2 linked regions of the Saccharomyces cerevisiae S288C genome follow. Changing the gene in region 2 together with the main gene of any one other region gives a genetic interaction. Each region holds a gene or a part of one and is shown on either strand. Other genes may lie near its edges.

Region 1 (3,263 bases), on a different chromosome or scaffold from region 2:
AACTCCTGGTGTGATTAGTGGTAGAAATGTTCGATAGTTCTATCGAACGAGTGACTCTGGAACTATGCTTCCATATAACTCTTAGCATTATGTGTGGCTGTAGTATCTACTTTCTGCTTCTTGTGTTTATTCTAACTTTTTATTCGTCGGTTTTGTTACATCTTAAATTGTATTTCTTTAGTTCTGACCGAGCCATATTTAATGCATAGAAGATTAATAAAGAAAACATGAAAATCATAAATAATTAAAAGTAACTGGACGAACAAAAGATTTTACGTGAGACAGACAAAAAAAATTAACACCAGCAGTATATGTATATATGTACATCGTATATGAATATGCCATTTCAACAAATTGGATATGGTTGTATGTTTGGCTTTTTCTTTTCCTGGATTCCGGCTGTCAAATACTACTACGAATAGAGTCAGAACAGGCTTTTCTGTCCCTTCCTCCTATTGTTTCCTTTGCTCTGTCCGTGGCTACTCTCATCTTTTTCTATTCTAAGAGAATTTCCATCTGTTACCACATGCTTCACATGTACAGAAAGTGGTCAATGGTTCATCCGCAGATCTTGTTTGCAATTGATAGTAAGATACCTTCTTCTCTTTACATTTACCACATGTAAATCTATCGGTGACTGACCTTTCTATGGTGGCACCCTGTGCGTTGTATAAGTTTTGCTTGGCAATTTCTTCTATCTTTTGCTTTAAGGGCGCTGGTGCCAGATCCTTGGCATCGCATGTAGCTAAGAATTCAGGTGTTATATCACCGTTGGCAATTTTATGTTTGAGATCTGGGTTATTCTTTGATATGACGTTTGAATAAATTATACGATACCTGGCTTTGTAAGCGGCTTCGTTGGTGTCACAGTTGTTAACTTTATTCATTTCACTTTCTATGGCCTTTGCAGTATGCAAAATAGATTGAGGTGGATGCTCACTTTCCTTGGCCAAAACGTCGTAGAGTGCTTTTAGTACCTGATCACGTAATTTGTGGTGGTATATAGCTGTATCCACACCATCGTTCTTACTATTTCTTGGTTTAGTGCTGACGTACTTGTCTTGTTTCATGGCATCTGACTGGGAGGAGGCCGGCTGTTGAACACCATTCACGGACTCACCTACAGTTGTCTTGTCCTCTGCATTGCCTGGCGCATGATCTTGATGATGCTGCTGTGCTTGCCTGGAACGCTTATTTTTATTAATTGCGTCTTTCCAAGAGCTAATCATTTTCTTCACGAGTTTGCTGATCTCTACATTAGTGGATTTTTTAAACTTGTTGACTTCCACACCAACTTTTGTTTCTCTCAGTAACTTTTCAGTGGGGACGAATTCTTTATCCAAGACATGTAAGATTTCTAGAACTGCAGCATCATTACTTTTGTTCTTTTCTAGATTCTTAACATGTACCAGTACTTCCTTACTATCCATGATGAATGCTCTTATGCGGACTGACTACACTGTGAATGTTCTGCTGCTTGAGTAATTTTTCATTCAATATTTTTCAATACGTAGTCCCATCATCGAGTGATCACTTGGTCATATCAGCACAGTGGGGCGGGTAAGAGTTGAAAATTTCCCTATAATGAAATTGGATATTATATATCAAAAAGGCGTTGTCATTCGAAGCATCGTTTCAAAAGAAGGTCCGTAAAGTTAAGGTGGGCTAGTGAAGTATCTCATAATTGTTACAATCACCATAAGAGAAATCTTGCGTTTAGAATTTCCTAAGAGAACCGAGTCACTTCTAGCACTTGCTTTAAACAGAAACACTTGTAATAATTGTTAGAGGGATATACAAGAAAGGCTATATACCAATAGCATCACATAGACACGTTAATTATCAATACATTGAAAGAAAAGACGAAAACGATAAAATGAATAGGCAGAGCGGTGTGAATGCGGGGGTACAGAACAACCCACCATCCCGAGTGGTGTATCTGGGTTCTATACCATACGATCAAACAGAGGAGCAGATACTTGATTTATGTAGTAATGTTGGGCCCGTGATCAATTTGAAAATGATGTTCGACCCCCAAACTGGTAGGTCGAAAGGGTACGCGTTTATTGAATTTAGAGATTTAGAGTCCAGTGCCAGCGCAGTACGTAATTTGAATGGATACCAATTAGGCTCTAGGTTTTTGAAATGCGGTTACTCCAGCAATAGTGATATATCGGGAGTTTCACAACAGCAACAACAACAGTACAACAACATTAATGGGAACAATAACAACAATGGAAATAATAATAATAATAGTAATGGGCCGGACTTTCAAAACAGCGGAAATGCCAATTTTCTAAGTCAAAAGTTTCCAGAATTGCCCTCTGGTATCGACGTTAACATAAACATGACCACCCCTGCTATGATGATATCGAGCGAACTAGCTAAAAAACCGAAAGAGGTGCAGTTGAAATTTTTACAAAAATTCCAAGAATGGACAAGAGCGCATCCTGAAGATGCTGTTTCGCTATTAGAGCTGTGTCCACAGTTGAGTTTTGTTACGGCTGAATTATTGCTAACGAATGGGATATGTAAAGTGGATGATTTGATCCCGTTAGCTTCCAGGCCGCAAGAAGAGGCATCGGCTACGAATAACAATAGCGTGAACGAGGTGGTGGATCCAGCTGTGCTTAACAAACAGAAAGAACTACTGAAACAGGTGTTACAACTGAATGACAGTCAAATTTCTATCTTGCCCGATGATGAAAGGATGGCTATTTGGGACTTAAAACAAAAAGCATTAAGGGGAGAATTTGGTGCATTTTGAAACTAGGGAGGCAAAAATACAAAAAAAAAATGCGGTTCCGCAATGATGAGGCAACAATCTATCATATTTTCCACGTGAGGGAGCTCAAAGTTCGGTATATAGCTTACATCTCAATATCACAATCACTTTTTTTTTTGACGTCTTTATAAATATAGAATAACGTTTACGTTACTGCTATTTTTTCGTTTCTTATCTCAGTTTGCCTGAGGACGGCTATAGTTTTAATCATTAAACGTATATTAAGTACACATGAACATATATAAATCTCAGGTTTGTGCATGCTTCGATTTTTTTTTTCTATGTTAATGTCATGGATCATTACGTGGCTGGGATAGTGGAAATATGCAAACATGATTAAGGCGCCTAGTTCCAACACGGCGCAAGCTGCGAGTATATGACTTGTTACCTGCACTTTTTAATAGTCATCACAAGGGGGAGGATCGCTTTCTAACTGTTGTAGTCTTTTTTGTTCAAGTTCTTGTTTGTCTTCCGACGG
Region 2 (4,907 bases):
TGCCCTGAGGGTCTACCTCTCTGGCCAACTTTAAGGATTCAGAATTAACAAGATCAACGTTAGCTGGAGAGACGGCCAAGATTAAACAATTTGGAGTGGCTATATAGTCTAGGATCAAATTCTTGATTTGCTTTTCAATATCAGGTGGTTGTTCCCCAATAGGAACCTTTGTAATCCCAGGCAAATCTACTAGCGTTAGATTCAAAACATGAGGGGAAAACACTTTCAAATTAATCGGAATCTTACTGATGCCCTTATCCTTACCGGCTATCCTCGCTGTTTCGTTTTCGATTTCTCTTTTGATATCGTCGAAATCATAAAACCGTTTTCCTGGTATATGCAGGAATTCCCCCCACTCATCTGCATGATTTCTTTCCTTGCCCCTATACTCCAAGGGCTTCGTACCAGCTTCGAATCCTGATATTTTTGTAACTTCATCATGTGGATTAACTGAGTTATCATCTTCCTCTATTAGAGGAGAATTTGGAGATATGTTATTAAGTTGAAGAACTAACGGTCTTCTTGTGACAATACCAGTACCCCTAGGTAAAAAATCTCTTCCAACTAACGTTTCCAATATCGAGGATTTCCCGGAGGATTGTGACCCAACAACAGCTAAAATGGGCAAATCGAGTGTATCGATCCCGGAGTCGTACATAACATCCTGCAGCTTGTTGACAGTAGGAATAAGATCTTCTAAACTAGCCATTCTTTATCCGTCGTATTTAGATTCGCTGGTAGCTACTTAATGATAAACTCTTTAGCAAATTGTGGCCAACCTGAGCAGTAGAGTAAAGGTAATATTTCATCCTACCCTCTTATTTATTGTTCCCACACTTTGTTTTGCCCGACCTTACAGGCGTGCACCGCGTAGTAAAAGTTGAGGACCTATCATTACCTAGAAAGGTGGCGATCAAGGTACTAACAATAAATACAAACATGCATTTTCTAAGATCGATGCTACATACGTGTACTAAATAATAAATATCAATATGTATCAAGTTTTAGGCAAGGCTTTAGCTTTTTTACGCGGTTTTAGCATTGTTATCGCCAACGTGTTGATGTTGCTTGCAGGAACCGGCTGATTTCTCTCCCGATGCTCCCTCTTCCCTGTTAAAGATTGAAGATTTGTTGCCATTCTGAGCAATAGAAAATCACGAATATTGGTGAAAGCTTCTATTGCGCCTTCCTCTGTATCGTATTCCTCTCCAGTAATGTACTTCTTGATTGCCCTAAACTGCTTCCTTGACTTCGGTACAATAACATCGGCACTAGATGGAAATAAAGATGGAGTGGCAAGAGAGTATCCCGAAATACCCATTACAGATGATGTGACACTTAATTTGAACTCTTGACGCTCTTGTAGTTCAATCCAGAAGGATGATAAGCTTACTTTGAGGAGGCGATCTTCCTCTGCCAATTGGTGTATAAATCTAGCCTTAGGATCGTCTGGGAATAATGGAATATTATATACCGCAAGAGAATTTTCTTTAGAGGTAAATATATCACCCACTTGCCATAGTGGATATTTCATCCCTCTTAGGTATGATCTTACTCGAGCAGGATCTTCGCCCGGTATCCTTAATTTTGCTTGTGTATCATTTTGAAAGCATTCAATTAGTAATCTATCCAAAATAAAGCCCCACCATTTCATTAGTTCCTCGCCATTTAGTATATGCTTTTTGCTGTTTTTTGAAGAATCTGGGAAGAGGTACTGGGATGCAGGTCTAGTAAATAAACAAATTTTGGTCAAAATCTCACGAGGACAGGTGAATGAGAGATAAAGATCTTGTTGAAAACGTGGAGATTCTATTTCTTTCAAAACGGTGCTGCCTGACTGTTTAAGCCTTCTAGCCAAAATCCTTAAAGTTCTTGCTGGCGTACTGGCTGCGCTAATCAGCTCGGGGGATATCTTCTTATATGATCTTATTGCCGGTTTTACTTTTTGAAGATAGTAATTCGGGTCGATTGATAATATAAATTCTAATATTATTTTTGTAATATCTCTAACGCTTACCCTCGTATTACAATAACCATTAGTGTCTGCCTTTGATACAAATATTAACCGTTCGGCATCTGCTTCATCCCAAAGCGTGACATACACATACACTTCTAATGAAAAAAAAACTTTTCCTTGGTGAAATAGACTAAAGAAGTGTTGAGTCTTGATCGTGCTTTTTGGGACCCTTTTGTCGTCCTTATTTGGGGTTACGACAGCATGGGTTTCTAACGGAATAGATTGCAACGATAAGTATTCAAATTGTTCACTGACAGGTAGCACGGAACTTAGGAAGTCATTCAGTGACATGTCTTATTGAAGACCGGTTGAATTGACCTTTTAACTCTACTGGACAACTCTATTGACAAACTGTAGTTTGTTAAGTAATGCGTTATGGCGTCCATTTTCCATTATAGCTTACAACGCGAACACGAAAAGTATAGTATGTTGTGATGTTTTCATAGACCTGGAGAATATTATTAGTAATTGTATGCATCTCAGAAGCAAGAAAGGTTACGACTACATATGCACACATACATACGTACATAATATATATATCTATTGACGTTTACGACTTAACGGGGATTTATCATGCTCTCTTATATAATCCATATCTTGATCGATTTTAGGAGAATTGGCGCTTAGGCTAAAAGGTACAGCGGGTATTCTGCCAAAATCAATATGGTCAACTTTGGATGGCATGTTTCTAGTGGTACGCCTAGGAGAATACCTTAGAGGTTTTCCTCGCGTCGGAGATCCGTTTAAGCCTGTCGTACTTTCAAGGTTGATCTGTTTTTTAGCTGTAGAATCAAGAACACTGGAAGATTTCACCGGACTTGGTATGGCTCTTCTTGCCCTGCTATAATGCGACTTCATCGCTTCCATTCTGTGCTGCTTTATTCTTTCTGAGCCTGGTATGGTTGAGGCGTTTTGAGAGTCTGATCTTATGGGAGTTTTTAGTTCATGTTTAAGATTGAAGTCCTTCCTTCTCTTTGGAGAACTGTCTGAACGATTTTTCCATAATAATAACAATCCCCTTACAGTGGCCCTGTCCCACCGATGACGAAACACCTCGACTGTCTCATCATTACGCTTAATTTTTAGGAATCGAAGACTCCACATTTTCAAGAATTTGGATGTAATTATGAATTGTTTATTAGCTTCCGATTGTTCCAATAATGTACTCATATAAAATATTTCGTCTAGATGAGTTTTCCAAATATAAAACGTCTTGACTAACACAAATTCTTCGCGAACTTCGTCTGCTAATTCTTCTGATTTTACTATCTCTAAAAGTCTTTCTCTAAATTTCTTCAGCACCATTTTTTCAAGCTGGTAGTTTCTCTTTGAAATAGCCTGAATGTTACATTCTTCTGTGTAGAAGCAAAATCTATTTCGCCAAGCGTTGAACAGTTGGCTTTGAAGTTCGCGCTCTTTACTCTTTTCATAAACGTGTAAAATATCGTTTAACTTATGCCTGACTTTGAACCTTGTGGCTTTCCGCCACTTTAAAAAGGCCTTAGAAAGCTTTACTCTATCCATAGAGGGCGCCAGTTTCGTATATAGCAAATGAACATTATCAATATGCATTAGCGTCCGTTTTACAGTCAAAATTGCATGTGTCTTACATAAGAAATTGTATCTATCCTCCAATTCCTTAGTTTTAATCAGGCGTTCTTTCCATATAGCTAGACACTCATTTACGAGACCCTCTTCGTAAAATTTGGATGCTTCGTCATTCATAGAATTCATTTGTAGCATCCTCCTTTTCCACACACCAAGATATTTTGCACAAAATGCCGTTTTAACATGTTCGCTCGATATTTTCCCATACTGTATTCTTTTCCTCCATGTACGATACGCGCTTGCTTGAATACTCTTTTTACATTTCTGCTCAAATATTTTTAACTTTACTTCAAGTTTCCAACTTCGCAATGATGACTTGAGCAAATTAGTCCTCGAATAATCGCTTGCTTTGAGGTCAATATATAGAAGTTTTTTCCATGAATGAAAAATACGCTTCACGAGGTTAGCCTCTTTTAGACTTACAATTGAATACAAATGCAGATGGTCTTCGAATCTTTTCAGCCACATCTTCTCAAAAACGCACCTCAAAAGTGTCTGATTTAGTTTACTCTTTGCAATTGCCTCTTGTTGACTATGTTGAAATGACCGGTTTAATTTGCGAAAAAACTTTTGTTTGATGAATTTATTCTCCAGTTCATAAAGTGCCCCAAGTTTATCTTCGTTTTCAATGTTTTTCTTTTCCCATTTATTCAGATATTTTCTTTGTAGAGAAAACGACCTCACTTTTTCTGCAATGCTCTTATTGTATTCATAGTTTATAACTTTCTGTTTTATTCTTTCGAAAATCCTTCTTTCCAACCCGTGGTAGTTTATTTCTTTATGTCTTAGCTTCCATATATGAAATGTTGTTCGTAAAAATATCTTCTTAATGTTGTCAGTGTTAACAGTTTCTAAGTGTTTCCAATGCTCTTGTGCCTTTAAAATTTTCCTAAACATCTTATTCAAAAAGGCCTGATCTGCTAACCTTGACTGCTCCTTAAGAGTTTGTGTTAAAGTTATCCATTGTTGGAACGAGCGAAATAGTAGCCAAGTATTCCTAAAACTTTCAGCTTCATCGTTGGCCATCTGTGAGTATTTTAATGTTTTATCACTCCAAATATAGAAGACGGCTTCCTGTACCCTCAGCTTTGCTTGATTTGCAAACCTGTTTGCCTCTTCATTCAATTCACATACAGTCTTCCAGTGATTAAAATGTCTTCTGATTTTGTTCTTAGCGTAGGTATATTCTGCAAGGGACAATGCAATGAATTTGTTGCGAGGGTGGATTAAAAATATTTCTAAAATCTCTTCTATAACAGAATTGAAAGTGAAAAAACCTTTC

What was found. Genes that interact genetically often act in the same process or in processes that back each other up.
Region 1: mutations in RTT109 (region 2) and DST1 together harm fitness more than expected from each alone (negative genetic interaction), as found in Saccharomyces cerevisiae (5 studies listed by BioGRID, with this or other methods).

What each region holds. Positions count from the first base shown.
Region 1 is NC_001139.9:415,650-418,912, reverse strand, and holds DST1 (transcription elongation factor DST1), read right to left. Parts: upstream 1,431-3,263; coding exon 501-1,430; downstream 1-500. Other genes in the region: DPC13 (Dpc13p), read right to left, coding at 1-88; YGL041C-B (uncharacterized protein), read left to right, coding at 27-209; RNA15 (Rna15p), read left to right, coding at 1,877-2,767; RIM8 (Rim8p), read right to left, coding at 3,183-3,263. UniProt on the Saccharomyces cerevisiae protein: Necessary for efficient RNA polymerase II transcription elongation past template-encoded arresting sites.
Region 2 is NC_001144.5:143,692-148,598, reverse strand, and holds RTT109 (H3 histone acetyltransferase RTT109), read right to left. Parts: upstream 2,309-4,907; coding exon 998-2,308; downstream 1-997. Other genes in the region: dynamin-related GTPase DNM1, read right to left, coding at 1-709; SFI1 (Sfi1p), read right to left, coding at 2,558-4,907. UniProt on the Saccharomyces cerevisiae protein: Histone chaperone-dependent acetylase that modifies 'Lys-9', 'Lys-14', 'Lys-23', 'Lys-27', and 'Lys-56' on histone H3 (H3K9Ac, H3K14Ac and H3K23Ac, H3K27Ac, and H3K56Ac) to promote nucleosome assembly, genomic stability, DNA repair and transcriptional regulation during mitotic S-phase.